Lonchura striata: one gene and its partners. The protein of the gene in region 2 interacts with the protein of the main gene of each other region in a pairwise test. Links are inferred from orthologs where the notes say so. Each region holds a gene or a part of one and is shown on either strand. Other genes may lie near its edges.

Evidence for each region.
Region 1: the proteins of TAX1BP1 (region 2) and PLEKHN1 interact in binary tests that used the Homo sapiens proteins (3 or more experiments, as listed by UniProt). The two-hybrid records come from large-scale screens. The link is inferred for Lonchura striata from reciprocal best matches to the Homo sapiens genes TAX1BP1 and PLEKHN1.
Region 3: the proteins of TAX1BP1 (region 2) and CXXC1 interact in binary tests that used the Homo sapiens proteins (3 or more experiments, as listed by UniProt). The two-hybrid records come from large-scale screens. The link is inferred for Lonchura striata from reciprocal best matches to the Homo sapiens genes TAX1BP1 and CXXC1.
Region 4: the proteins of TAX1BP1 (region 2) and LGALS8 interact in binary tests that used the Homo sapiens proteins (3 or more experiments, as listed by UniProt). The link is inferred for Lonchura striata from reciprocal best matches to the Homo sapiens genes TAX1BP1 and LGALS8.

Annotation. Positions count from the first base shown.
Region 1 is NC_134626.1:860,695-868,476, forward strand, and holds the start of PLEKHN1 (pleckstrin homology domain-containing family N member 1), read right to left. Parts: upstream 3,019-7,782; coding exon 2,939-3,018; intron 1,286-2,938; coding exon 1,186-1,285; intron 1-1,185. UniProt on the Homo sapiens protein: Controls the stability of the leptin mRNA harboring an AU-rich element (ARE) in its 3' UTR, in cooperation with the RNA stabilizer ELAVL1.
Region 2 is NC_134603.1:123,123,144-123,131,098, reverse strand, and holds the start of TAX1BP1 (tax1-binding protein 1), read left to right. Parts: upstream 1-4,954; 5' UTR 4,955-5,066; intron 5,067-7,839; 5' UTR 7,840-7,845; coding exon 7,846-7,955.
Region 3 is NC_134638.1:856,178-863,168, reverse strand, and holds the start of CXXC1 (CXXC-type zinc finger protein 1), read left to right. Parts: upstream 1-3,975; 5' UTR 3,976-4,028; coding exon 4,029-4,031; intron 4,032-4,123; coding exon 4,124-4,221; intron 4,222-4,835; coding exon 4,836-4,936; intron 4,937-5,487; coding exon 5,488-5,591; intron 5,592-6,217; coding exon 6,218-6,373; intron 6,374-6,991. UniProt on the Homo sapiens protein: Transcriptional activator that exhibits a unique DNA binding specificity for CpG unmethylated motifs with a preference for CpGG.
Region 4 is NC_134605.1:45,720,410-45,727,486, reverse strand, and holds the start of LGALS8 (galectin-8), read right to left. Parts: upstream 3,001-7,077; 5' UTR 2,910-3,000; intron 2,750-2,909; exon of another isoform or gene 2,729-2,749; intron 1,111-2,728; 5' UTR 1,026-1,110; coding exon 912-1,025; intron 1-911.

The DNA of each region.
Region 1 (7,782 bases), on a different chromosome or scaffold from region 2:
AATCAGCAGCAGGAAGAGCAGGAGCTGCTCTTTCGTGGGAAAAACACCAAACCGGCGGCTCCTGGGGCGCATCCTGCCCCGCCTGGCACCGGGAATCGGGGCAGGGGCTGCTGGGGGTGCCACAGGTGCAGGGATGTCACCTGCCCCGGTCCCAGGTGGCGATGCCAGCTCCTCGGAGGTGCCCGGTGCCGGCAGCTCGGCTCTGAGCCGGCCCTGCAGCTGCTGCTGCGGCCAAAGCCAGCAGGGAGAGAGGGGCAAAGCCCAGGCTTCCTCCAGCCACACAGCAGCCCCTCTGCCCCAGGCCAGGGTAAAGGCTGAAAAGCTGCTCCACCCTCCTTCCTTCCATCCCTGGAGAGATCCTGCACTCCCTGCTCCCAGATGGGCCGGCTCCATTCCCATTCCCCAGCTCCATTCCCAGCCCCATTCCCATTCCCCATTCTCCCAGAATTCCTGGGAGAATTCCTTCCTCCACCAGGATTCCTTCCCCAGGACCCACTGACCCTGACAGCTCATCCTGCTTTCCCCAGGAGGAATCCAGGATCCGGCCGGGGCCTGCTTTTGGCTGCCTGATCCTTTTGGATCCAGCTGATTCCCACAGGGAGCCCTCCCTGCAATTCCCTCTGCCTAGCACCGAGGCCGTGCCTCAGTTTCCCCTTCCCCACGTGCGCACAGCTGGGATCGATGACCGCCCGGATGCTCCCAAAATTCCGCCCACAGCCCCGGCCCACCCAGCGGGACCCCCCAAACGCTCGGGGGCTGCTGGCTCCCCTCGGTTCCCCCAGCGGCGCTGGAGCGGGGCCGTGAGGCCGCAGGGCTGGGCCGTGCCCGGGGCAGCCCTGCCCTTCCTGATTCCCTTCCCAGGCTCCTGCTCCGTGGGAATGAATCATCCCACCTGCCAAAGCTTTTCCCTTCCCTCGCAGCCGACCCAGAAACAGAAGAACCCGGAGCAAAGGTGGTGTGGCGGGGATGTCCCCGTGTCCCCGTGTCCCTGCTGGGCTCCCAGCAGCACCCCTGCCTCAGCCAGGTGCCCTCCACACCTGCACGGGGACCGGCTGCTGGGAGGGCTCATCCCTCCTGGCTCTCCCTGGGACAGGGCTGCTGCTGCCCCAGAGCCAAACCCAGCTCGGGGCGGGTGGGAATAAACCCCCGGGCAGTGGGGAGCGGGTTGCAGGTGCTGGAACTTGCCTTGGCTGGAATATACTGCAGGATTTTGTCCGTGGTCGTGTCTCTCTCCTGGCCTCCGTCTATCCCAAAGAAGCTGGGCAGCTTTTTCTTGCCATTTTGGCTACAGAGGGAAGGGAAAAAAAAACCCAAAACACACATGGAAACAGAGATCCAGGCTGAGGCATGGTGAATCCTGCCCAGAAATAAGGAAGCCATGACACCAAGCAAGCAATTTGTCACAAGCTTTCGAGTCATCCCAACCCAGCCAGGGCTGACAAAGCCTTGGAGGACTGGAACAGGATTTTGCTGCATTTGTTGGGGTTTTTCTGCTTTTTTACAGCTCTTTGCTCAGCCAAATGATCATCTTCACTCATCTTGTGCCCCCAAATGAGCACAGGGCCTGGATGTTCCATGGCAGAGCACAAAAATCAAACCCAGCTCCTGGAGAGCCCCTGGAGTGGGGATGGATCCGCACAGATCTGTGGCAGATATTCACAGGGAGAGCTCATTTCTGCCATGGTGGCTTCCCTCTCCCTTCCCTCCACTCCCCCATTTCTCCCTGGGTGCACACCAGTCCCAGGCAGCCACTGGTGCTGCTGGGAAGAGCTGGGACTTCCTCAGATTGCAGCAGAAAACCAGGAGAATCCCCACGGGCGTGGGAAGCCAGGAGTCAGTGGGACAGGAGGAGCTCTGGGGCTTGGCTGCTCCACCACAGCATCCTGATGTGAGATCCCCAGAGCCCAAACACCCCGAGGGATCCCCTCTCTTTTACCCCAAACCCCTGAGGGATCCCCTCTCTTTTACCCCAAACACCCCGAGGGATCCCCTCTCTTTTACCCAAACTCCCGAGGGATCCCCTCTCTTTTACCCCAAACACCCAAGGGATCCCCTCTCTTTTACCCCAAACCCCGAGGGATCCCCTCTCTTTTACCCCAAACCCCAAGGGATCCCCTCTCTTTCCCCCAAACACCCCAAGGGATGTTTTACCCCTCTCTTTCACCCCACAGGAACTCCTACAGGTTTGCCCCTGATTTCTGGCAGCACAGGACACCAAGGGAGCAGTTCAGGCTCTCCTTTCAATGAAAAACCCCTTGTCCTGGCAGAATTTTGGGGGGATTTGGGGGGTTTTTGGGTGGTTTTGACCCCTGACACTGAACCCAATGCAGACAGGTTCATGATGAATCACCTCATTCCCTCAAAGCTCTTTTCCAGCTCTGGACGTGCTGATGGGAAAGCTGGGAAGCTGCACTGCATTCCCTGGCTGTCCTATTTTGGGACAGCCACCCACGGCCACGGTACCTGAGCTCTGCCCTGGCCAGCCCAGCACCCAAATCCCAAAAGATTGCACTGAGATTTTCTGCCGCTCCTCCTTTGGGTTTACAAACACAAATCCGATGGCGGGGCGCTGGGATTTTGGGGCTTTTCCCCTAAAGTCTGAGGAGTGGGAATGTTGTTTTCTCACAACAGTACCACAACTGTGAATAAGAACACTCACAAGTGAAAACAGGGAATAATATCAGGTGCTCTGCACCCTGGCCCGCCGGGGGAAGCCTTATTACCCAAACAAAAATTAACTCAGCGCCGCTTCTCCCGAGGGCTGGCGTTCCCTGCCGGCTGAGAATTCCATCCCCGGCGCTCGGGGCGAGCTGGTGCCGGGCTCCGGCAGTGCCCAGCACCCCCAAAACCTCCGGGAAATAGGAAATCCCCAGCGGCAGAGATCCCGCCGGAGATCCAGCCCCGCTCCCGCATGCCGGAGCCGGAGGGGGTTACTCACTCCTTCTTCAGCGAGGGTTTCCTTCGGAAGGAGCTCCTGAAGCCGCCGGGAGCCTGCGGGACGCAGGCGATGTTCCCCATGCCGGGCTGGCTGCGGGATCCGTGCGGGATCCGTGCGGGATCCGTGCGGGATCCGTGCGGGATCCGTGCGGGATCCGTGCGGGCTCGCTCCGGCCGCTCCTCTCCGCCCGCCGCGACTCGAGTGGGTGTGGGCAGAGCCCAAAGCCGATCCTGCCCCTCGCTCCCGCCCCGGGGCTGGGAGGGGCGGGCCAGGTACCTGTTCCTGGGAATCCACCCGAGCCACCGGCATTCCCGAGCCAGCGGCGGCGGGGAGCTGCGGCCGCCGGGAACCCGTCCCGGGGCGTTCTCCCAAAAGGAATTCTGCCCAGAGACCCATCCCGAAAGGAATTCTGCCCACAAACCCATCCAGGAGCATTCTCCCAAAAGGAATTCTGCCCACAAACCCATCCCAGGGCGTTCTCCCAAAAGGAATTCTGCCCAGAGACGTATCCCGCAGTGTTTTCCCAAAAGGAATTCTGCCCAGAAACCCATCCCACAGTATTCTCCCAAAAGGAATTCTGCCAATAAACCTATCCCAGAGCGTTTTCCCAAATGAAATTCTGCCCACAAACCCCTCCCGCAGCATTTTCCCAGAAACCCAACCTGGAACTCTTTCCCAAATGGAATTCTGTCCCCACAAACCCATCCCACAGCGTTTTCCCAAATGGAATTCAGCCACTGCACCGGGTGGAGATAAGGATGCAGTGAGATAAAGTCGGTGGTTGTTGTTTAAGCATTAACAAAAACCCCTGGGGTTGAAGGGTTCCAAAGGGTTCCCCCTTCCCAGTGCGGTTAAAGATATTAAAAAAAAAATGGGAAAAAAATATCAAACGGGACACTAATCAAAATCTAGAAATTATAGGAGACGGATCAAGGGAGCAAAGAGCAAAAGGAGATGTGCATGAGCAGCAAAAAAAGAATATTTGTAGCAGAAATGCTTTAAAAGGAAGCAAACAGAAGATTTCTGACCGTGCTGAGAGTGCATCACTGCATGGAAATATAAACAATAAAAATGAGAAGTTAATGACAAAAGGTAAATGCAGACTCAATATTTCTGTGCTGGATAAAAAAACCCCTCAGGAATTACACCCATAGGAAACGAGAAACCCTTTCCATTTTCAGGTGGCTGCTAAGAAGTAAACACAAAAAGAATGCTCTGGATCAAAAAATAGAGAAATTCACATCAGAAAGTTTGAAAGAGCTGAACACAAAGGGCTTGAGTCACTGTTGCAGTTCAGTCTAGCAGGACCACAGAATTTGCAAAGAAATTGCATAATTTAACAGGGATATCAATGTTTCCATGGGTAAAAAACCACCCCAGTAATTATGGGGTTGCCAGTTGACAGTAATTCCTGGGAAAATGATGTAACAGCTGTGAGGGAGTTGGATTAACTTTGAGAATTACAGGAGGAGAATATAATTAATACAAATTAACATGGGGCTGTGGAAATCAGATCTTGTCAAAACTAATTGAATTGATGGCATGTTTGAAAAAAAAAATCAGATTTAGTGAACATAAATAACAGTGATGTAAGAAACACCATAAAGGATGTGGTGTGACAAATCTGCGGGTTATTTTAGGAGGTTTTCCTGGAGAATCTGCAGGAATCTAGCTGTGATAGACACACAGGGTGTGTTGGACTGTTCCAGTTTGTGGTGGTTTCACCCTTGCACTAACAAAATATTCCCCAAAAAGGGATTGCACAGTCAGGCCACACTCGCCAGGAGGGAGCAGCTGAGAACAGGTGTGCCATAGAATTTCTCCCCATTTCTGACCTTTAAAAGCAGCTCCTTTATCCCCCTCCCCTTTGTGTCCAGAATCCATTAACCCTTCCTGGCCCAGCACAGCAGCAGGGCACCCCTCCGGAGGGCCCCCGCCACAAATTCCGTGATTTTCATGGCAGGAGCTGCTCTCTGCTCTCTGCACCGCTGGCAAACAGCACAGCAACAGCCCAGCACCTCCTGGCCGGGATCAGACACCGCAGCACACAGCCCCAGCTGTGTTTTGTGCAGAACAGTGTGATTCCCCCTCGGACCCGTGGCTAACACGGTCAGGCCGTGACCACAAACGTGCTGTTCCTCTGGTTTGTTCTAAATAAAACCTCCCGGCTCGGAGCAGGGACACAAGCGCTGCCGCAGCTCCTGCTGCTGTCACGGGTCCTGCCTGCTCCCTGGGACAGCAGTGACACCAGCAGGGCTGGCAGGGCCAGCTGGCACTGCTGCCCTCAGAGGCTGCCCTGGAGCAGAGGCTGGGCAGGGCTAAAGGGATAGAGCGGGGTTTAAAATAAATAAAGGAAGTTAAAGGCTAGACAGAGTTCAAGGAATAAAGTGGGGATTTATTTAAAGGCCTTCACAGGATACACCCTGGGCAGTACAGGAGCCTGGCCGTGGCTACAGCCAGGATGGACTCCAAGTCATGAGTTTCAGACTTTGATAAGTTTGGGTCCATTTCCATATCGGGGTTCATTGTCCAATTCCAGGTTGTGCAGTCCCATCCTCCCACTTTACTCTCCTGTTGTTGGCACTTTTTGGGGCTGAAGCTGCAGCAGTGTCCTTGGTGCTGGGGCTGGAAAAGGATTGTTCCGTGTGCCTGAGCTGTGAGGAGAACTTGCTGACACTTCATGTGAAGCTCAGCGAACCAATGCAGCAGAGAATGTGGAAAATCTGAAAAGTAAAACTTAAGGCATTCCACCGGTGGCTGAGGTCAGGCCCGCCACCAGCGTGAGGGCACAAAGCTCTCCCAGAGCCCACAGTTCTGCTTGCAGGAGAGCCTGAACTGTTGGGAAGCAGTCCCTGGACTCCAGGAATGCTTTTCGAGCGTTCAGTTATTTATAGGAGCCAAAGCAGGAGCAGGGGCAGCAGGAAAGGGCACACGGGGCTGGTGCCGGGCCAGGAATCCCGGCTGCCCTCAGGCCCCAGGGCTGGGCTGGTGCCGGGGCGCCGTGAAATGTGAAATGGGCTCAGTGTGAAATGGGCTGGGGTGAGATGGCCTCAGCATTGCCCCTCGTGAAATGGCCTCAGTGTGAAATGTGCCTCAGTGTGAAATGGGCTGGGGTGAGATGGCCTCAGCATTGCCCCTCGTGAAATGGCCTCAGTGTGAAATGTGCCTCAGTGTGAAATGGGCTGGGGTGAGATGGCCTCAGCATTGCCCCTCGTGAAATGGCCACGGTGTGAAATGTGCCTCAGTGTGAAGTGGGCTGGGGTGAGATGGCCTCAGCATTGCCCCTCGTGAAATGGCCTCAGTGTAAAATGGCCTCAGCATTGCCCCTCATGAAATGGCTTCAGTGTGAAATGGCCTCAGCATTGCCCCTCATGAAATGGCCACGGTGTGAAATGTGCCTCAGTGTGAAGTGGGCTGGGGTGAGATGGCCTCAGCATTGCCCCTCGTGAAATGGCCTCAGTGTGAAATGTGCCTCAGTGTGAAATGGGCTGGGGTGAGATGGCCTCAGAATTCCCCCTCGTGAAATGGCCTCAGTGTAAAATGGCCTCAGCATTGCCCCTCGTGAAATGGCCTCAGTGTGAAATGGCCTCAGCATTGCCCCTCGTGAAATGGCCTCAGTGTGAAATGGCCTCAGCATTGCCCCTCGTGAAATGGCCTCAGTGTGAAATGGGCTGGGGTGAGATGGCCTCAGAATTGCCCCTCATGAAATGGCCACGGTGTGAAATGGCCTCAGAATTCCCCCTCGTGAAATGGCCTCGGTGTGAGATGGCCTCAGAATTCCCCCTCGTGAAATGGCCTCGGTGTGAAATGGCCTCAGTGTGAAATGTGCCTCAGTGTGAAATGGCCTCAGAATTCCCCCTCGTGAAATGGCCTCAGGTTCCCCTGCCCCATGAAATGGCCTCAGTTCTCCCCTCTGTGAAATGGCCTCAGCATTCCTCTGCCCTGTGAAATGTCCTCAGTATTCCCCTCCATGAAATGTCCTCAGCATTCTCCTCCCCTGTGAAATGTCCTCAGTATTCCCCTCCATGAAATGGCCTCAGCGTTCCCCTGCCCCATGAAATGTCCTCAGCGTTCCCCTGCCCTGTGAAATGGCCTCAGCGTTCTCCTCCATGAAATGTCCTCAGTGTTCCCCTCCTGGGCCAGCAGTTCAGGAAGCACGGTGGGGCCTGTGTCCCCAGCCTTGGGGCCATCTCCATGTCCCCGGCCATGGGGCCATCTCTCTGTCCCCAGCCACAGGGACGGGCTGAGGTGGCAGCTGGAGGGGGTTCCTGGCCTGGTTCTTGTTCCTGCTGCAGGGCGAGCTGGCAGGGACTCCTAGGGACACCAAACTGGGCTGTGATGGTGGAAATCAGCTCTGGAGCCTCTGGGGCTGGGGCTTTTCCCCGAGGTCTCCAGCGTGTTCTCTCTGTGATAAAGGGAAGGGTGACACAGAGGGGACACTCCCAGCACAAAATCCCCACTGGGAATACAAAACCCCCACACCCACCCAGGCCCCCAACACCCTCAGCTGAGTCTGGGGTTGGGACTTGGCAGAAAGCTGCTCCTTTTAGCTCAGCTGTGCCACAGCAGGGCCTTCCAAACTGGTTTGGGCCCCTCTGGCCTCCTCTACCAACACCCCCCCAGCAGGGCCAGTCCCAGCTGGGCTCCAGATGGGAGTTCTGAGCAAACGCCTCAAAGCTGCACCCAGGCACATGAGATCTCATAGAATCACATCCCAAGTCACAGGGGATCCACTAGATCAGGGTCCAACCCCTGGCCCTGCTCAGACACCCCAACAACCCCACCCTGTCCCAGGAGATGTCCAAAAGCTCCTGGAGCTCTGGGACCCCTTCCCTGGGGAGCCT
Region 2 (7,955 bases):
ACAGTAAATCTATTAAAGCATACCAAACAAAGGTATTTACCTGTTCTATATCTGCTAAGATTTCAGTGACACCTACTCAGTGGTCATTTACATGCCGTGCTGTGTATGCCAGTAAGAGGTATGCTGGAGGGAAAAAAACCCCTTGCAAACATCATAAATAAGAAATGAAACACTCCCCCAGACCTGGGTCTCCAGTGCACATATATTAATTACACACCAGAGGGTAAAGCCTCAGTATGTGCAAGCATTTAATTCATTATTTGCATTTATTAAAAACATTCCTTTTCACTTTAACAATAAAGTAACCCAACAGTGAAGTAACAGCAATTCAAATGCAGTCATTTACAGACGTGCGGTTTCTTGTGCCCATTGTACAGTGCAGTGCTGCCAAGTCTCACACCTTAGAAGTAAGCTCCTGCTCTCTCCTCTGTCACACACATACATGCACACACATACAAAATTTACATGTCTGCTCTCACCTATACTCTTTTGGGAAAACCCACAAATTTCATCAATCTCACTCTACAGATTTAAAAATCCTGGCAGCTTTTGAATAGCTTTTCTTCATCAGCTGCAATTAAGTGTTGGAAAAGAAATCCAAAATACACAGAAAGAAACTTTCTCCTTAATAGGAAATGTTAGCAATAGTATGGGATTTCTAATATGTTCCAAAGTTTAGCCACACCATCATACTGGAAGGCCAAGACTGCATGCCCTGTGATTAGGTTCCCTTAAATGCCAGGCAATTCAGTTTTGTCAGCCATAACATGAAACATTATTTATAACTATTCAACTGTTTTAAGAGTATAGTTAATAGTTTTCTGTAACATGATCTTAAAGAAGTTGATTAAGTGTGCTTTACAGCATGACCAGAAAGAGCTTCCGATTAGTGACATCAGTATATATATTTTACATCTCACATGACCCACACTTTTAAAACTTGGAAGTGTTGAAATAGGAGTCAAACCAAAATGAAATCAAATCATCAGAACTGAAGCATTTCCTTACCACACTTCATCAATATCATCATGTCATGCCAATAGACTGAATATCCACAACATCAAGTACCTCTCCCTGGTAATAAAACCTAGAAATATATAATTTTTCTGTCACTCACACAAAACAAAGATGGGCCTCAGAGGGGAGGAATTCAGGGATGGTTCAAAAACTCATCATGGGTTTGGTTCAGACTACAGTAATACATAAAGTAAACAAATGAAAGAAAAAAAATGTTAGGCTCTGGATTGAATAAAAGTTCACATCTATCCAAGGTTAAACAGATGTGACAGGGATCCATTTTTAATTTCAAGGCTCTAAATTACTGGGGCTCAGAGGTTGAAGAAGATAGTGTAGTTATAAAAACAATGTTTTGCAAGCACCCCAAACTCTGTTCCCTAGGAGTCTGTAATTGCTCCGTTTCCTTTGGCAATTCTGGTTAACTGCATGTTTTTATTCCTCATTCATCTCATGCCTGAGGAGGGACTAGTCTCATCCTAGCAATGTCTCAGTATAATTACAAAGCAGGGAAATTTTTGCATCCCAAACCAAATTTCAAACTTATTTGGAATCTAGTGATGTTCAAATCCAGTTACTGAATTCTGAATTCACACACGCTTTTAACTTTATTTAATATTTCTATCACAACCACAATTTTTATTTGCCAGCTTTTTATTTCCACGTCAATACCCTGGTGAAATGTATTTGACATATATTGCTTGGAGATTGTGCATATAAACACAAAAAGAGAGAGAGCAGGGATTTTTTTCAGCCTGTAGAAGAGGTGGGCCTATTGCTATCGACAACCAGCTAAGCAAAGGGTGTAGAAAAGATGGAACAGAATTTTCTCCAGAGGTCCACAGTGAAAAAACAAGACAAGAGACAAAACTGGAACATGGGAAATTGATACAAAGAAACATTTTTACAATTAGTGTTTTCAATCACTGAAAGAGGTTCTTTAGATGACATGGAATGTCTCCATCCGTGGAGACATTTGAAATGGGACTAGGTACAGCCCTGATCAACATGCTCCTTCAAGCTGCTCTGGACATCCCTTCCAACAAACATGGTTTTAATTATAAAAATATATATATATAGTATAATTAAAAAATACTTGACATTCCCAGTTTGTTTTTCTTTTAAATATGCATAAATACTGCCTAAACATTGATATTATGTGTTTAAAGTACATCCTGCACATGAAAACTGCACATAAAAACTGTACCATTTGTGGTAAAGTACTGGCTTGAACAAAACCAGTTTCCTGTTACTGAAATCAGGGATTGGAAAGCTGAAAACCAAGCCAGAAGGAGATGAGATTATTGTCACCATCCCTGTAATAAGCTTTTCTAATTAGTGTGTTAGTGTTAAAAGAATCTCAAAAGAGTAAGATTCTGTTAGAAATGCTGATATCAAACTTTTTTTTGGTTTTAAATATTTTGCAGAAATGTAAGTAAGGATAGAAAAGTAGTATTGGAGGGGTTTTTTGTTTTGTTTGGGTTGTTTGTTTTGTTTCTTTCTTTGTTTGTTTTCTTTCTGCTCAAGAGCAGGTTTCCTGAAAGATTTATATCACATGGATTAATTTCAGGACATAGTATCTGTCTAGCAAATCAGACTTATCAAGGTGGTCAATCATTAATTCTCAGCCAAGTGCAAGTATCACTGGTTCCAGTCACATTTTTCTTTATTCAGATCTATGTACAAGGACATTTATTATTGATTCTGGGATCTCTGTGCACCACTTGTCCATTTTGGTCAAGTATTTAATTTCTTGACATGGCAATAAAATTAGAAGAGGCTCTCCAGCATTTTTCTGTAAATATCTATAAATTCTAGAGGGGTAGGATTGGCATCTAAATCTAGCATGTAAAAGCATACATGAGAACACATTAAACCACACATTTATTTTAGTCAGAAATGGTTTTATATTTTATATATAACCACCATTATGTGGTTAAGAAGACAAGTTTAGAAGTTTAAAAATACTGAATTATGAGGTTAATATGGCAAGTTTAGAAATTTAAATTTTCCTGAAAATTATGGATATAGGTACAAGAAAAGGCAAGATAATTCTCAATTTATTTGTCCTATTGTTATATATACACTTTTCATGTTAATGTCAGCATTTCAGTAGGTTTTTTTACCTTTTCCATATGCATTAAGCAATAGAAATAATAACTGAATACCGAATTATGAGTAAACCATAACTGCCTTTATTGACTGAATGAACATTTATTAAGTGAACATGGAAATATCTCAAGTTTCTTAAAAAACTCAGAACTGAGAAGTATTTTTTAAAAAAATTAGGAAACAGAAGTGGGTTGTTTGTTTTTCCAGGCATTCATGTATAAAGATTTTGTTAGCTGCAAAAGAAAATATTTATTTCAAATTTCTCATCATATTCCCACAAACCTGCATTACAATGGCTTTAAATGAAAGCAAAACTACTTTGTCTTTACCAACGCTGACATTCCCCAGCTGGTGACTGTAAACCCTGAGTTCTTCCTAAGTTCCAGCCCACACGAGAACAGAGAACAGTGAGTGTCTTGTGACTATTAGACAGCTCTTTATCACATCATACAGAGCAAAGTGCAGCAAGGAGAAGAAATGGATGGCTGAGATAAGAAGGAACAGCCCTTTCTACCTCCTTACAAATATTTATTGCTGAACAAAATACTGGTCTCATTTTCCACTATAAAAGTTCATCTGGTCTTACATGACAGATTGCTCTACATACACTTCTCGTGTCTTCTAAAATGATCAGTTAGTACTATGCAGGGAATTTATTGGTTTCCAGGGAAACATGGAATGTATGGATGATATAAGAGATTATTCATTGTGGCTACAAATCAAAAGATAATCTAGTAATCTGTGACACACCTTAAGACACAAGACTGTTTTCAGAAACAAAAATGCAAGTACAATGAATTACCATAATTACTTAAATACACTTTCTATGCTCCAGCTTAGTTTCATTTCTGTTAGGATTGAACATGAAAAAACAGGTGAACTTGAAACAGAAACCTAACTCAATAATTCAAATTATTAATCATATTATTTGTAATAACACTATGTCTCTCCACATAAACTGTTTGTTTTAAATACACATGAAAACACGTAAGAAATGGTAGCAGCAAAGAATTTAAGATGATCTTGAAGACAGTTTGTAGTGGCAACGAACACTGGGTGCACTGGTCAACACCGTGACTCTGGTCAGTGCTCTACGAGCTGCTTTTTAATGAAAATGGAGAGGACCCTGTGAAATAGTTGCGAGCATAGTCAGAAAAGCCTTAATGCCCAAACCGTTTAAATCCAGATTGTTTTAAAACTATCAGATGTGGTAAAAGGTATTAATCCTGTATAAACTTGTGGCAACTAGTGGTTATGGTGGTGGAGTCACAATCTCCTAGCGGTGTTCAAGAAACAACGCGCCATTTAGCGCCACGGTCTAGCTAACAAAGTGATAATTGGTCAAAGGTTGAACGCAATGAGCTGAAAGGTACTTTCCAACCTTAACGAATTAGGTTGGAATTCTGTGCTTCCCTGGTTCTCCGAGTCAGCGTTGTGTGTGATGTAACGCCCTACCATGGCGATCCGCCAAGGTACCCAGGCAGAACCCTTTACAGCCACTCCTATCTCACCCCTCCGTTGCCCCGGGAAGACCTGCAAGGCTGGCAGATTAACGGTGATCTACAGGGTGGCGGCACGCCCGTGTCCTGACGTGGGACGGAAGAGGAGACGATTAATTCGGGTAAGTGGGTGCGACAGAGGTGATGTTGTAACCACGGACAAGGCGGGCGGGCACCGTGGGAGCGCTGTACGGAGGTGAGGGCAGCCCGGTCGGGCACACGCCGCGCACAGCACTGTGCCCGCAGCCCCGAGCCGCGCCCCCGGCCCGTGGGAAGCGGAGACCACCGGGCGGCTCCCCGGTGCCCAACCGGATCCGTGTCGGGCCCGCCCCGTGCGGGCAGGGCCGGGCTGGAAGTGACGCGGGCGGACGGGCGGAGCTGCGCGGCGCTGGTGGCCGAGGCCCCATGTTGATGTCCCCGGTGCCCTCCGCGTCTGCCTAGGTAAGAGCTGTCCGTGGCCGGCTGCGGGTCCGGGCAGGGCTGACACGCTCTTTCCCGCCGGCCTCCGGCCGCTTCTGGGCCGGGCCGTGCGGCCGGGCCGTGCGGCCGCGGCTCTGCGCCACCGGCCCCCGCTAGCTGTTCGGGCCGGCCGTGTCGGTAGGGGAGCGGCGGGGCCGGGCTGCGGGAGCCGGCGGGGCTCCCCGGCCCGCGGGGGAAGAAGGAGGCCCGGAGCCAAGGTGACCGCGTCGGGCAGGTGGCGGAGCAGCGGCGGGGAAGGGGCGGGTGGGGACCGGGGGTGTCGGGGGCCCGGGACCGCAGCTGGAGGACTCCGGGAGGAGCTGTCTGTGCTGGCGCGGCTCGTCCTGCTTTTGTTTTTCCTGCTCGACGAGCTTTTCCTCCCTTTCACCGTCCTTTCCGCTGCGCAAAGCCAAACGCGTCGTTTAGCCTTCCCGTGGGAAGCGCTTGTCACGTCGGTAATGAAGCCTGTGCGTAGCTCTTCCTCCTCCTCTCCCGTTGCCTAGCCGGTAGCTGTGAGTTAAGCAAGCAAGTACCCAGCATCCCCATAACTATCCTTGAACTGTAAGTAGATCTGACCATCACCTAAGCCCCGGGGATTTTCCTGCTAGGCAACAGTAATCCCAGATGATTGTGCTGGTCTGCACAAGTTAGATTTGTGAGCAGTTCTGCTTTAGGGTTGGAAACCAGTCTTGCCTTTACTGGTTCCTCTAGGGCTACTGCTCAGCTGCCACAGCTGAGCAGCTGACAATGTGCAGAAACAGATAATTTTTTTTCCTTCTGGTTGGGGTTGGGTGTTTTTTGTTTTTATTTTTTTTTAATTTTTTTTTTTTTTAAATTTAGTTTTTTTAATATGTGCTTAGGCTGAGCTATACAATTTTAAAGACAGATTTACTGAAAAATCAATTGGTTTTATTATTAATACTGTTTACTCTTTTTTGTACTTATTCTACCTAATGAAAATGTCAGTGTTATTTTGGTAAGTTACCGAATTACTAAAAATGAATGAATTTGTTGCAATTGAAAATAACTAAGGTTTTTCTTTTAGAGCCATAGATAGTGCTGATGCATACCATTTGTAGTTCAGACTGAAATTGAAAATGTTATTCTCTGTTTTGAGATGTGTGGGAGTTTTCAGGATTTTACTGTGCTGTAATATTTCCTATTCTGGACTATGAAGCTACATAACTGATAGGATTTATTGTGTACCCTGTTGTCTCTAGAAAACTGTATTTTGATCTTTACTCAGTTTCCTGCTTGTGGAAGTTCCTTGTTTTTCTTCTACATCTATTCATCTTCACAAGCTTTGTGTTTTATCTTGTACCCCGTGTTGGTCAGTATACAAGACTGTTTTTTTATTTAACATCTGATACATTGAAATAATGTGGCTGCCCGCCCCTATGTACCTCATGTGTTACTCTAAATTGTGCAATAATAAGCTTAAAATTTTGATGGCTTAAAACTAAAAAAAACCTTTTGTATTTACCTTTTCGTTGTTTTGGGTGATGGATACGTGTTTACTTCAGAGTGCAGTTTGTTTCAGAAAGCACAAGGTCTTTGCTACTTATTTTTTAACTGGTGAAATTTTAAAAGGCTATAGGAGGTATGCAAACACCTTTTCATATTTGAACTACTTGAGGCTTGCAGTAGCCTGTCTCCTTTTGGTTTTGGTTTCTATATGTATCTTCAATGAAAGTAGCATATTATGTCACACGCTTGGCAGTAACCTCTTTCAAGCTGTGAATGTGCTTGGTTGGTATAAAATTACTTTCAACAGCAATTGCAAGAACAGGGTAGCTCATCTTTCCAGAAATGTCAGCTACATAAGGCCCTAATCCTCCTAATATCAAATGTTTTGACAAACTGTTGATTATATAATGGAGTCAGACATTTGAAACTTTTCAGTTGCATATTATTCTATTTTTGGTAGATATTGCCGAATCTGAGGAAGGGATGTTCTTCTTCTGCTTGTGAAGCATCTTGTGTTACTGTAGTTGTAGCACTATGTATCCTGAATGAGGTGGTAAATGGAAAGAACAAAAGCTTTTGCAGTCCAACTGATTAGTGTTACTCCCTTCAACTTCGCGCATACCTCAATGTTCCTGCTATCAATGCAGGCCATTGTTTATGGTAATGAAGCTAAACACGAAGTATGTGTTACAGTGAGAATAGTAAAAGATGTCCATAGACTGCTAAACGGGGGCAGGCGAGAGAAAAGCCAGCCCAAACAAACCCTCCTATTTACATAAACTTTCTTATTTTTTAAAAAAAAGTCTTGAAATGGAACTCTGATGCTTTTACTGAGAGGGGAGGAAAAACTTAATGTGTAAAAATGCTGTGAAAAGCACTGAGCAGTACAGATTTGAGAAAAGTTTGAAGTGGTGAAACTACAGAATCTCCTTCTATAGCACGTCTAGACCATTAAGAATCTTTCATTAAATTAGAACCCTGCTTTGTTTTCACACCACTGCTTTTATTTTCCCCTTTCTGACACTGAGATATACTAGGGACATTCAACTAAGCAATGCTTTCTCTTCATCTTGATGTCACTGCTGAAATGACTGCTCTTTTTATTCTGCGAGGTGGTTGTTTTGGAGAGATGCTGAGGCAGTGAATTTAGTCTATGGCTCTCTGTTTTCAGAGCAGGGCAACTAATTATTAGGCTTTTCTGTCGTACATATTTCTACTAGATTAATTTTTGTAACTTCACTTGTTTTTCCACTATGTTCAGGTAACAACTTCTACAATTTTGTTACAGATAACCATGTCATCCTTTCAAGAAGTTCCGTCTTCAGCTAGCACTTTGCAGACCTCCAATTTTGCACACGTGATTTTTCAAAATGTCGCGAAAAGTTACCTTCCAAACACACATCT
Region 3 (6,991 bases), on a different chromosome or scaffold from region 2:
AGGGACAGAAATGAAAGGGACAGAGGCGGCAGGAACTGGAGGAAAGAGGTGACAGGAATGGGAGAAACCCTGGAGAAAAGAGATAAGGAGGGAGGAAATGGTGAAGTGTGACAGAAAATGTGGGGCTGAGGGTTGGAAAAGGGGAACTAAGAAGACGACAAAGATGACAGGAGGGGACAAACCAGTGCCCACCATCATCATCTGCTGTGTCCCTACCGTGTACCCCTGTGTCCCCTCCATGTACCCCTGTGTCTCCGCTGTGTACCCCTGTGTCCCCTCCATGTACCTCTGTGTCCCCTCCATGTACCCCTGTGTCTCCGCTGTGTACCCTTGTGTCCCCTCCATGTACTCTGTGTCCCCTCCATGTACCCTGTGTCCCCTCCGTGTACCCTCCGTCCCCTCCATGTACCCTGTGTCCCCACATGTTCCTGCAGGCTCAGTGATGGACCTGAACCCACGCAGTGAGAGGCTCTACAGCCAGGACCCCCCAAGACCGCCCTGTGTCCCAGTGTCCCCCCGCCCCAGGGGCCAGGCGGTCTCGGGTGTCCCCAGGAGGGGCAATGTCCCTGCGTCCTGCCCAGTTCCCCCCTCAGGTCCCCCTGGGGGGATCCCACAGCTGGAGGTGCTGCTGAGGCAGATGCACAGCCTGCAGAAAGGTGAGTGTGAGGAGCCCTGTGCTCCCCCATATTCCCATGTCCCACATGCCCTCCTGTGCTCCCTCATGTGCCTGCCACGTCCCCCTGTGTCCCATGCGTCCCTCTCTCTGTCCCACCATGTCCCACAGTCCGTGAGACCACGGCACAGGAGCTGGTGAAGGCACAAGACTGCAGTGAGGGGTTGCGGCAGCACCTGGAGCAGCGTGAGTCACCTGGGGGGACACTGAGGGGTCTGGGGGATCCCTTAGGGGTCTGGAGGGGGACACTGAGATGTTTGGGGGATCCCTTAGGGGTCTGGAGGGGGACACTGAGAGGTTTGGGGGATCCCTTAGGGGTCTGGAGGGGGACACTAAGATGTTTGGGGGATCCCTTAGGGGTCCGGAGGGGGACACTGAGAGGTTTGGGGGATCCCTTAGGGGTCTGGAGGGGGACACTGAGATGTTTGGGGGATCTCTGAGGGGTCTGGAGGGGGATATAGAGAGGAGTTTTGGTGGGGGACACTGAGAGAGGGTCTGGAGGCGGACGCTGAGGGGTCTGGGGACACACAGAGAGGGGTCTGTAGGGTCCTTGGGTGGTGTGTAGGGATCCTGAGGGGTTTGCGGGGACAGAGGGCTCTGAGCTCATTGCCCCCTCCCCACAGTGGACCAGCGCAAGGAGGCACTGGAGAGGTCCTGGCAGCAGGTGCAGGGTGAGCCCAGGGGCCTTGGGGTCTTTGGGGCCCCCCCAAAACCTCCCCTGATGCCCCCTGGACCTCTAGCCCCCTTGACCCCCATGATTCCCTGACCCTTGTGGCCCCTCCTGACTCCCCCACACAGAGGGACCCCCTTGGCCCCTGTGACCCCCTGACCCCTCTGACCTCAACCCCTGTGACCCCCTGTGACCCCCTGTGACCCCCCAGAGTCACTGCAGAGAGCGCAGCTGCAAGGGAAGGAGGTGGAGGCCAAAGGCCAGAGGTGAGTGGGAACACCTGTGACCCTCCTCAACCTCACCTGTGCCCCCCCCCCAAAACACACCTGGTGGCCCCTGACCCCCCACAGGCACTGCGGGCTCTGCCTGGAGCAGCAGCAGGACATGGAAGGGACAAAGCAGCACTGGAAGCAGCTGAAAGACCTGCGCCGGGGACACAGGTGGGGCTGAGGGACACAGGTGGGGCTGGGGGACACAGGTGGGGCTGGGGACACAGGTGGGGCTGGGGGACACAGCCTGAGGGACACAGGTGGGGCTGGCGGACACAGGTAGGGCTGGGGGACACAGCCTGAGGGATACAGGTGGGGCTGGGGGACACAAGTGGGCTGGGGGTGGCACCAGGTGACCCACACAGGTCATGTGGCCACCGTGTCACCCCTGTGTCCCCTCACCCTCAGGTGGCAGCACTGCCAGCAGCTCGAGTCCATCATGGAGGAGCTCAAGCACCTGCGTGTCACACACGTAAGCCCGGGGCTGGGGTCCCTCACACACCTGGGGGTCCTGGCACACCTGGGTGTCCTGGCACACCCTGGGATCACACACCCTGTCCCCTGCTCCGTGTCCCCCTCCCACCACTGTCCCCCCACAGGCTCCGGCCCACCTGGAGGCTGAACTGGTGCAGCTGGAGAAGATGGAGGAGAAGTGGCTGAGCTGGGGTGAGCCCCTGACACCTGAATGACCCCCAGGACCCCCTTCAGACACCCCAGTGACCCCTGCCAACACCTGAGTGATCTCCTGACCGGCCCTGGGCCACCTGAGCCCCTCTCCCACAAGCCCCTGAGTGACCCCCTGGACACCTGAGCCCCCCCAAACCCAGGTGTGCCCCCTTGGGCTGACCGGTGTCCCCCCCTTGCGCAGAGCGCCGTGTGATGGACACGGAGGAGCAGCTGGGCCCACAGGCACCTGTGCTCAGGTGAGTGCCCAGCTCTGGCCCCGCCCCGCCAAGGTGGCCCCGCCCACTCAGGCCTGGCCCCGCCCCCTAACCCCCATTCTCGCAGGCGATTGGTGCAGCAGGACCAGGAGGGGGCGGAGCGACAGCTGGAGGTGGAGCTGGGCCGGCAGCAGCTGAGCCGGCAGCGCCGTGACAGGTGTGTGACCTCTGGGACAGGTGTGGGACAGGTGTGGGACACCTGGGACAGGTGTGGGACCCCTGGGACAGGTGTGTGACCTCTGGGACAGGTGTGGGACAGGTGTGGGACACCTGGTACAGGTGTGGGACCTCTGGGACAGGTGTGGGACAGGTGTGGGACCCCTGGGACAGGTGTGGGACAGGTGTGGGACCCCTGGGACAGGTGTGTGACCTCTGGGACAGGTGTGGGACAGATGTGGGACACCTGGGACAGCTGTGTGACCTCTGGGACAGGTGTGGAACACCTGGGACAGGTGTGGGACCCCTGGGACAGGTGTGTGACACCTGTGACAGGTGTGGGACAGGTGTGTGACACCTGTGACAGGTGTGGGACAGGTGTGTGACAGGTGTGTGACACCTGGTACAGGTGTATGACCTCTGGGACAGGTGTGTGACACCTGGGACAGGTGTGTGACAGGTGTGGGACACCTGGGACAAGTGTGTGACCTCTGGGACAGGTGTGTGACAAGTGTGGGACCCCTGGGACAGGTGTGTGGGACAGGTGTGGCCCTGTCACCTGGCCCCACCCACCTCTGGCCCCGCCCCCAGGTTGGCCGAGGAGCTGCAGCAGCTGCAGCGCCCCCTGGAGGCTCAGCCAGAGTGATGGGGACAAGATGGACACACCCCACGGGACACCTGTGCCACACCTCTGCGTGTTACCTGCGCGCCACCTGTGCCTGCCGTGTTCTCATGTCCCCCATTGTCCCCCTCTGGTCCCCAAAGCTCCCCCATGTCCCCCATTGTCCCTCAAGTTCCCCCCATCCTCCCCACATTTCCCAATTGTCCCTCATGTCCCCATTTTCCCCCATGTCCCCAGTTTCTCTCCAGTGTCCCCCATGTGCCCCCAGGTCCTCATGTGCCCCAAAATGTCCCGCATGTGCCCTCATGTCCCCGATGTCCCTCATGTCCCCAGTTTCTCCCCAATGTCCCCCATGTCCCCAGTGTCCCCTTATGTCCCCATTTTCCCCATGTGCCCCCAACGTCCCCTCAGGTCCCTGATGTCCCCCATGTCCCCTAAAATCCCCAATGTACCCCACGTCCCGCTGTCCCCCACGTCCCCAATAAACGCCCTGCCACCACTGCTCTCTCCGGCGTCTTTTTTGCGACCGCGGGTGGCAATCCCCCCAAACACGGCGGCCCTCATGGCCGCCATCGCTCCCCTGGCCGCCGCCATGCTGTACGTCGTTCTCCCGTACCGGAAGCGGAAGTTGGTTCCGCCCCCGCTTCCGGCCGCTGCTGGGCCTAGCCCGGAGCGTCCCTCGGAGGCGGCGGCAGCGATGGTGAGGGGGGGACCGGGGGTGTGGGGGAGCTCGGGGGGTCTGCGGTGTCCGGGGCACCCCCGGGCCTGACACCCCCGCCGGTACCCCCTCAGGACAGCGAATTCTCGGACGCGGAGGCGGCCCCGGGAGGGGAGGAGAACGCGCCGGTTTATTGCGTGTGCCGCAAGCCGGACATCAACTGCTTCATGATGTGAGGGGAAATGGGGTCCTGAACTGCTTTGTGGTGTGAGGGGAAATAGGGGTCCTGAAGTGCTTCGTGGTGTGAGGGGGAATTGGGGGGGTCCTGAACTGCTTCGTGGTGTGAGGGGAACGGGGGTCCTGAACTGCTTCGTGGTGTGAGGGGAAATGGGGGGGGTCCTGAACTGCTTCGTGGTGTGAGGGGGAATTGGGGGGGTCCTGAACTGCTTCATGGGGTGAGGGGGAATGGGGGTCCTGAACTGCTTCGTGGTATGAGGGGGAATTGGGGGGCTCCTGAACTGCTTCGTGGTGTGAGGGGAAATGGGGTCCTGAACTGCTTCGTGGTGTGAGGGGAAATGGGGGTCCTCAAGTGATTCAGGATGTGAGGGGGTCTGGGGGTCCCCAAGTGCTTCATGATGTGAGGGGGGGTCTGAGGGGTCGCAGCAGATCTGAGGGGCCAGCTGGGGGTCCTGGGTGCTTTTCAGGGTGGGAGTTGGGGGGGTCCCAGCTTGTCTTGGCCCCTGGGGCTGTTGAGGGGGTGCCTTGAAGCAGGGAGGGGTGCAGAGTCCCCCTGGGGGGCTTCGGGGGTCCCTGGCTGAGGGTCTCGGTGTCTCCCCTGTCCCGCAGCGGCTGCGACAACTGCAACGAGTGGTTCCATGGGGACTGCATCAACATCACCGAGCGCATGGCCAAGGCCATCCGCGAGTGGTACTGCGGGCAGTGCCGCGGTGAGAGGGGCTGGGGGCTCTGGGGGGCTCTGGGGGGCTTTGGGGGGGTTCTGGGGGGTCACTGGGGAGTGGCAGTGCTGCAGTGAGAGGGGCTGGGGGCTCTGGGGGGCTCTGGGGGGCTTTGGGGGGGTTCTGGGGGGTCATTGGGGAGTGGCAGTGCTGCAGTGAGAGGGGCTGGGGGCTCTGGGGGGCTTTGGGGGGGTTCTGGGGGGTCATTGGGGAGTGGCAGTGCTGCAGTGAGAGGGGCTGGGGGCTCTGGGGGGCTTTGGGGGGGTTCTGGGGGGTCATTGGGGAGTGTTGGGCTGAAGTTAGAGGGGTGGGGGGTTCTGATTTGGGGGGGTTCCAGGGACACTTGGGGTCTGGGTGGTTTTTGGGGTGCCTGATCCCAGATCAAGTGCTCGGCCCTTATGCGAGGCGGGGGTGTCCTGGTGGGGTTTGAGGGGTTGCTGGTGGGATTCGGGATGCCTGACCTTGTTTTTGGGGTGCCTGACCCCGTTTTTGGGGTGTCCCCGGTGGTGGACCCCCTGACCCCTCTGTGACCCCCCTCCCAGAGAAGGATCCGTCCCTGGAGATCCGGTACCGGCACAAGAAGTGGCGGGAGAAGGAGCATGAGGGGGCCAAAGGGCAGGAGATGGAGCAGGGCCGGGCTGCCAAGGTGGGCTCAGGGGGTGGGGACCCCACTAAGGGGGACACCCCAATGCTGGGGGGAGGCTGGGAGGTGCCTGAGTCCATTGGGATGAGGATTTGGGGGACAGCAGGAAGCTGGGGGGTGCTTTGAGGGAGATTTGGGAGACCCCTGACCTTCTCTGGGTGCCTGAGATCCCTTCTGGATTGGGTTTTGGGGTGTCCCGGGTGGACTTTTGGGGTGCCTGACTCAATTTTTTAGTCTCCTGACCCTATTTTTGGGGTGTTTGACCCCAGATCAAGCACTCAGCCTGCATTTGGAGATTGCGAGGTGGGGGTGTCCCTGGTGGGATTTAGGATGTCCCTAATGGAATTTGGACTGTTCCTGATGGATTTTGGTGTGTCTAACTCAATTTATGAGGTGCCTGACCCCATTTTTGGGGTGTCTGACCCCATTTTTGTTTGCCTGACCCCAGATCAAGCGCTCAGCCCGTGTGTGTGGGGAGTGCAAGGCGGAGGTGACCCTGGTGGGATTTGGGGTGTTCCTGGTGGCTTTTGGGGTGCCTGAATCCATTTTCGGGGTGCCTGACCCCATTTTTGGAGTTCCTGACCCCATTTTCGGGGTGCCTGACCCCGTTTTTGGGTGCCCGACCCCAGATCAAGCGCTCGGCCCGCATGTGCGGGGAGTGCGAGGCGTGCCGGCGCCCCGAGGACTGCGGGCAGTGCGACTTCTGCCGGGACATGAAGAAATTCGGGGGCCCCAACAAGATCCGCCAGAAGTGCCGCCTGCGGCAGTGCCAGCTGCGGGCGCGGGTGAGCGGGCACCCAGCGTGTCCCCAACGTGTCCCCAGTGTGTCCCCAGCGTGTCCTTGGTGTGTGTTGGCAGTGGGGTTTGTCCCCTGTGTGGCGTGGCCTCAGTGCCTGCCAGGGCTGGGGGTGTTGGGGTGACCTTGGTGTGTCCCCGCTGTGTCCCCAGTGTGGCTCTTTGTCACAGTGTCCCTGTCGTGTGGCCTCTGTCACCACCTCGTGTCCCTTTGTCACCCTGTCCCGTGTCCCTTTGTCACTGTCTTGCTGTGTCCTTGTGTCTCTTTGTCACCTCATGCCACATCCCTGATGTGTCACGCTCGTGGCATGTCCCCGTGTCCCCCACTGCTCACGTGCTCTATGTCCCCAAAAACTGCTGCCTGTCCCTGTGTCACCCTGAGGTGTCCCCAAGTGTCCCCATGTCTGTGTGTCACTGTCCACAGTGTCCCTGACATGTTCCCAACATCTGTTATGTCCCTGTGTCACCTTGTCTCGCTGTCCTCACGTTCCATGTCTGTGTCACTCTTATCAGCGTGTCCCCGATGTGTCCCCAACATGTCTTGTGTACCCAAGTGTCCCGTGTCCCTGTGTGTTCTTGTTCTCTGTCTCTGTGTCTCCATGTTCCTG
Region 4 (7,077 bases), on a different chromosome or scaffold from region 2:
TGGATTCTTCTGAAGGAGGTTGAAACCTCATGCCTAACTCTATTCACTTTGCAGCAGTGACCATACACTGGGAATAAACAGTCAGATTCACTGAGGACCCAAGAGTGTGACAGTGCAAAGCTGCAATAGATAAGGAAGTCCTGTGCAGGTCTGTGCCACTGCACGTTCCACATATATACTTTACTGATTTTGGTATTTTTAAAGGGATCTAGCACAGAATGGTAAAAATACTATTTCCTGCAGGTTCAAATGAATGACCTTTTTTAAGGCACAACAGAAAACACAGCTTCAGATCACCCCTTTATGGTAAGCCCAAGTCAGGCTGCTATCACAGACCATGAGAATGCTAGAACTTTTCAGAGAAAGTTTCCAGACTCTGAGCCAGGCAAACAAAATCCTGTCAAATCTGGTCTCTGCAATTGCTGAATCATGTCAGTTCAAGTTTTCCGTAGAAAACAGGATTTATTATGAATTAAGATATGAACTATGAAAAAAGATTCCAAGTTTAGTTGTTCAGACTGAAGTTACAGGCACAACAAAATAAACATTTCATGAGAGCTGCCAAACCCCACCCGTATTTACAGAGAATCAGGAGTGAAAACAAATCATACTTTCACTTTCCAGCATATTCTGCAAAAATGCCAGACATCTGTGTAAGCTGTACATGAAACAGGATTATCCTCCAAGGCTGACAGAACGTCTGTCCTCTTTTGGAAGTCCTGTCCATTTGTTTACAGCACAATTTCTAAACACCATCAGCTCTTCATGTCACCTGTGACATTCTCCCTCAAACACCTGAGTGATGCAGAGCTCTCAGTAGCATCCCTCACTGTGCAAAACAGTACTGTTGATATAAAACAGCAAAGTCCCATCTCCCAAGGGAGACACTGTCGACATGACAGAGGAGTTACCGGGTTACTGATTGTCTTCTGTGATGTATCCAAGGGCAATTCAAGCATTTCTTTCTGTGGTGTATCCAAGGTCAGTTTACACATTTCCTCCTGTGGTGCACCTAAGGATGTCATCTTCCCACCTCCAGCTCAGGTCTGTCAGTTCTGTGTGGCCACTGCTGGAGAACTCACTGATCAGGCAACACCAAAGGAGTGACCCCTTCGGGGAAAAAAAACAAAAAAACCAAAAAAAACCCCAAAAATTTTAATTAAAGAGAAACAAAACAACACAACATGAATTAAAACCCTCCAAGGTACAGCTACAAATAGCAGAAGAAAGTATGCAAACATCTTTCCAGTACCTCTGCTAGAGTTTTGAAATATGAAATTAAAAGGCTTTCTTAAAGCACTGAGATGCCCCACTGATAAACAATGTCAACAGGAGTGTGCTATCCCCAGATTTACCATGGCAGACAAGCCTTAGCAAGTGACCTTGCCTTTTCCACCTTTATCTTACATAAAGCTAAGAAATATTAGGCAAAGAAGAGAAACAGAGGGTGTTTTACATTTCTTCCTCTAACACATACAATCTCAGAACTCCACAAGTAATAACAGAAATTTATAAAACTATAACAAAATGCACAACATTAATAAGAAATAAAGTTTGTGAGTATACTCAGCTACATTGCAACTTCTTTAGCAAATCCTTTAACAAAGTGTCCAAAATTCAGGGCCAAATTGAAACTACCAAGTATTATTTCTGGCATACACTGGAGAAATAAGGTAGCATATAAACTATGTGGTGATAACAAGCAGACAGGGAAAAAGTCAAAGGTGAAGGCTCTAGCCACATTATTGTGTGAGAACAGAAAGCTATGTTAACGGAGAAGAAAAAAAAAAATAAAACCAAAACAGAAAAAACTCCAAAACAACACAAAATCAAAACTCCAAGGTCTGTGGCCTGTTCCACAGGGGTTAATCTTCTGCAATGATTAATAGAGTGGTCCATTTTGCAACATCTGACTTAGTCTTGTTGAAGATTTGGACCAGATGGGTATTAACTCACCCACTTAAGACCAGTATCTAGAATACAACTCAGAGAACATAAGGTCTCAACACTGCACAACTATTTTGCCCTTTGATCTTCTCAAGGGATATTACCATAAATTCACTTTTGCCTGTGCAGGCATGTTTTATCGATTTCATTTTTAAAAGGAGAAAATAAAGACCAAATCAAACAATAATTTTGCCTTTACGGTTGTACAGTCCAACAGCAGACCCCACAAAAACGAAACTTACAGCTCAGCTGTATCCTGCTATCTGAACTTCCTGTGCCTGCAGCAGGAATCTAGATCCTGCTAGGAGAGGATCCTGGCTCAGGATCTTGGCAGAGCCAAGAGCAGGTGGCACTATGACAAAGTGATGAGTTAGGAGTTTTCTTATCTGCCTATTACTGTTTTACTGGCAAGGTCGCAATAATGAAGGAAAGCTGCAATTCAGGCTCTGTTTGTCCAAAGGACGTGCAACTGCAAAGCTCTCCTGTATCCTCCTGCCACCACCACCAGGGTACGTGTTACACCAAACCTGCAACACGGCAAGTTAAGGTTCCCTGGTGCCCTGCTATCTCACACATTCCCAGGGGCTGGAAATATCTCCCACAGACAAACAGGAAGCCACAGAGACCAAAAATAATAATAAGCGGTTATTAGGCTTCCCACTGTGATACAGAGAAAATGTGTCGCTCATGAGTTACTTTCATGAGGGTAACTCCGGCCAGTCCTTACAATTAAAGCGAGATCTGGCACCAGTGCGAACAAGGATTCTGCACAGAGAATTACCGAGACGCTTTCTGGACATCTTCAACCACTTAAAGTACAAAACACTGGCGGTGTCCCCCGTCCTCCGCTATAAACCCGAGACTCCCGAACACTGGAAGGACACAGGACGAAGCAACCTCGGCCACTTCAGCTTTACGGCGAACCGAGGCAGTCCCTCTGCCCGACACGCACGGTGTCTTACCGCAGGACTCCCCGCGGCGCTCAGCAGCGCCCGCTCCCCCGCGGGACGCGCCCGCCCGGCCCCGCCGCCGCCATCGCCGCCGCGCCCGGCCCCGCCCTCACCGCGGTGACGTCACCGCGGCGCCGCCCGCGCGGGGGCTGGGGCGCGTGCCCCGCGCGGCCTGCCGGCCCGGCGCGCGCAGGCGCCGCCCCCCGCGGGGCCGGGCTGAGGGGGCGCTGTGGCGGGCGGGCTGACACCGCGTGAGGTGCGCTGCGCTCCGTCCCCTGCGGCTGCGCCTTCCTGCGTGTAGTGTGCTTCCGCGGAAGGCCTGTGCCCAGTGCTCTGCCACCCTCTGCATAAGTTCTCCCTGACATTCCTGGGGTTTAGTTTATGGCCATTGCGCCTTACCCTCTCACTGGGCATCAAGAGTTTAGCACCATCCTCTTGAACTCACCTTTGGGATATTTCTATGCATTAATGAGATCCCCTCTCAGCCTTCTCTAGACTAAGCAGGCCCAGCTCTCACAGCCTCACCTCCTAAGAGATACTCCAGACACCAAATCATCTTTGTGGCCTCCACTGGACCCTCTCCAGGAGCTCCTTGTCTGTCTTGTATTGCAGGGCCCAGAACTGGACACAGCACTCCAGATGTGGCGTCTGTAGGGTGGAGCAGAGGGGCAGGGTGACCTTCCTCAGCCTGCTGGCCACACTCTTCCAATGCACCCCAGGACACCTTTGGCCCTCTTGCTGCAAGGGCGCTGCCGGCTCATGGTCAGCTTTCACCCACCAACACTCCCAGGTCCTTCTCCGCCAAGCTGCTCTCCAGTAGATCTGCCCTCAGCCTGTGCTGGTACTTGGGATTATTCCTCCACAGGTGCAGGACCCTGCACGGGCCCTTGTTGAACCTCATTAGGTTTCTCTGTGCTCAACTCTCCAGGCTCTCCAGTGACCCACAATGACTGTGGTCATTTCTGTCCCAAGCCAGCTTCCGTCTGCCTCAAGGCTGTGGTCTATCTTCCTGTCCCCTTGCAAGCCCCACTAAGAGTGATTTTGGTAGGATTGGTAAGGTAAGCAGGAAGGCCAACAAAGCCCCTTGCAGTTTTATAGCTCATTATGTGTAACAACAAACAGTCTGCTCAGAGAAGCACTACAACCTCTGTTAATACACTGGATGGGGAAAAAATGAGCACAAAAATAAAGAGTGCAATATAAAAGGCTCATAAGCTTAAATCACCATCTCCTGTTCGAATAAAGGCATTCAGTATTTCTTTGCCTTGCAAAAAGCAGTGTATATGGTTATAGAGAATTTAGAATGGCATTCAGCCACTTGTCACAAAGACCACTAGAGTATCTTAGCTAGATAATATCCAGTCTTTTATTCCACAATTAACCGACACAGAAGCCCCATCTCAAATCATCTATCTACTTGCTAGAATTCTTCTGATAGTTGTAGGATTGCTGCTTTTATGGGTACCTCAGCTTACCTATATAAAACTGGAAGGATTTGTTCACAGAAAGGTATGATAACACTTCTTTTGAGGAGAACGGTAGAAATGAGGTGCTTGGATAAAAAAGCAGCAAAGCAGATTGCCTGGGGAAAGGTACCTTAGAATCATGAGTGGTTGTGAGAGAGGACTGACAACTACAGTGTATAGTTAGCTGCCAGAAAAAAGCCTGCTATTCAACTGTTCTACATAATTCTACAGCGCTACTTAAAAAGAGAACAAATAAACTACCACTTAGTTTTTCTTTGAATCTATTTTTCCAGGCACTCTAGTTGAAAGAGTAGAGCACTTTAATAAAACCAGACTTACATAAATACATGAAATACACTCAATTGTCAGTATGAGACTGCAACCTCAAAGCAGGTTTGAAAGTTCAGGTCAAACAGGAAAGACAGAAAATATGCTGAAAGGTTGGAATAAAAAAATATGATGCTGAAAGGAATAGCAATAAGCAGAAGTGTTTCTAGAACCACAGAAAATAAAGTTTTACTGCTTTACTACTTCTTGCTCAGGGCTCTTCTACTTTTGGGAAGAAACAATCCAGAGGAAATACAGTGATTTGTATTATGCACCAGTTCCTTACTGAAGCAGAACAGCTGTTTGATTATGTGATTTTAGGCTGAGTCATAGGCAGTTTATGAAATTTGCAGGGAAGCCCCTATTTCAGCACCCAAACCTAATGTAGCATTGACAATGAGTCAGTTGGCTTACAGCTTCAGCATCTTTGTGCTAAAGTGCTGTTGTTTTGTTCATAGACTGTCTTCTGATCCTGCTGATTTCTTGTGACTGCTATTTTTAGCACCATTTACTAATGGCAGTCCTGACAGCAAATAACAAAGTCTTCCCTTATTTCCACAGTCCCAGTCCTAATTCAGGCTTTTTCTTCTAAATTTGATGTGCACTCAGCCATTGCTGGGACTATGTACAATCCTATCAGCAGACTTCCCATGTTCCAGCAGAATTTTGCTTGCTGGAAAAACAGAAATGCTTTGTCAAGACAGATACAGCCAATTTCAGCTGAAGTAAATATAGCAGCTATTCTTGGCCATAATGTAGTATTTCATAGAGGACCCTGTTACCCCTAAGAAATTTTACCTGCCTCTCCTGTCTTTGATGCCAAGCCTGTAACCTGTCTCTCTCAGGGTAGCAAGCCATGGCTGAAAGTCAAGGTGAAAACATACATAGTCATACTTATTTGGCCTGGTATTTTATGCACAGTTCCAATTATACAATTTCCATCAATAATGGAATTCCCTAGACTTGAAACAAATAAGCACTAGTCTCCATTAAGACATTTTCCCATGGAAGTTACTCTTGGCTAATTTTTCTATAGTGCTGTTGTACCTGAATAGCTATTTTCCCCTAGATTACACAGTACTACAGGCCACAGGTGTAAAGCCTCTAGCACATTGGACTGTTCAGCAGACATTTTATGCTTAAGGATGTCCTATGATTTCAAAAGACTGACATTGTTGTGTCTTCTGTAGTTTTAGTGGAGCTGTTTGTGCATTACAGCATTTCTCATGGAAATTATTCCCCTAGTTTCTTTGAAAAGCTTTAGACTCAAGGAGGACATGAGTCCTCTTGGTACACCAACATTAAAATTTCAGCTGACAGCCCAGTTGGCTCAGCTTTTACTTAGCCACGAGTTTATCAGTGGCCTTCCATAACTTTTCCTTGATACGTCACTATTTAGCTTCAGTGATCATTCAGATCTTCCAGTTTTCAGTTTAAAGTTGCAAATCACAGGAAACAAAAAGTCATGGTTTTTAAAATGAGCTTACAGATCCAAAAGCTTAAAATTATACAGCTGCTTCAGGAACTAACAAGTATTCTATTTTTTGTTGCAATGCCTACTTTTTAAAGCAAAATGTTTAAGAGAAGCATAAGAGCAAACAAGGTACAGAATAGATATGCAGGCCAAAGGACAAAAAAGGTACCAAGAAGTCATTAGACCTTCTGAAAACCAATTCTAGGCCATATAACTCTTAAAACATACTCACCCCTCCTTTCTTAAATCAGTGACATGACACTCTAGGTTTCTTGAAGTAGTCAGGATCACTCCTTCATTTGTGTTGCAGTAGACAGGAGAGTGAACCTGTGCCTGTGCTTGCCCTGTCTGCACACCCCAGCATACCCCCACCCCCAGGCAGTTATGCCACGATCTGCACATAGTGATTCAATCCCTGCCTACCTAGGAGATAAAAGCCAGGAAACACTGTATGATGTTCTCCAAACTTGGGGACTGTTATCCAAACCCAAGATCCCTAGAACTCTACCTTCACGCCTTCATCATTTTCCTTGCAGTTGCTCCTGGATATCCCTGGTGAGTCTCTGCAGTTACAGATGAGCTCACCTGCCCTCAGCTCTGCTGCATTTTCAAGGGAGACATGCGAGGGCTGTAGTATCACCTCTCACCACGAGATGGTAGGTGTTTCCTGATGGTTAGAGAGGATCAGGCTTTTAGCAGACCTTTGAGATAGTGAACTTCTCAGCTTCTGAGAAAGAGGCATAAGCAAATAAGGACCAAAAAAACACCCACTGTTCACAGGATTGTGAATGAAGTAGGGGAAGCTCATGTATATTGGCTGCAAAGACAAAAATAAATTCTCAGCTTAGATTCAAGATATTTTTACTACTGTAAGGATTTGCACAGCCCTTTATTATCCTGGTTCTTTCTGTTA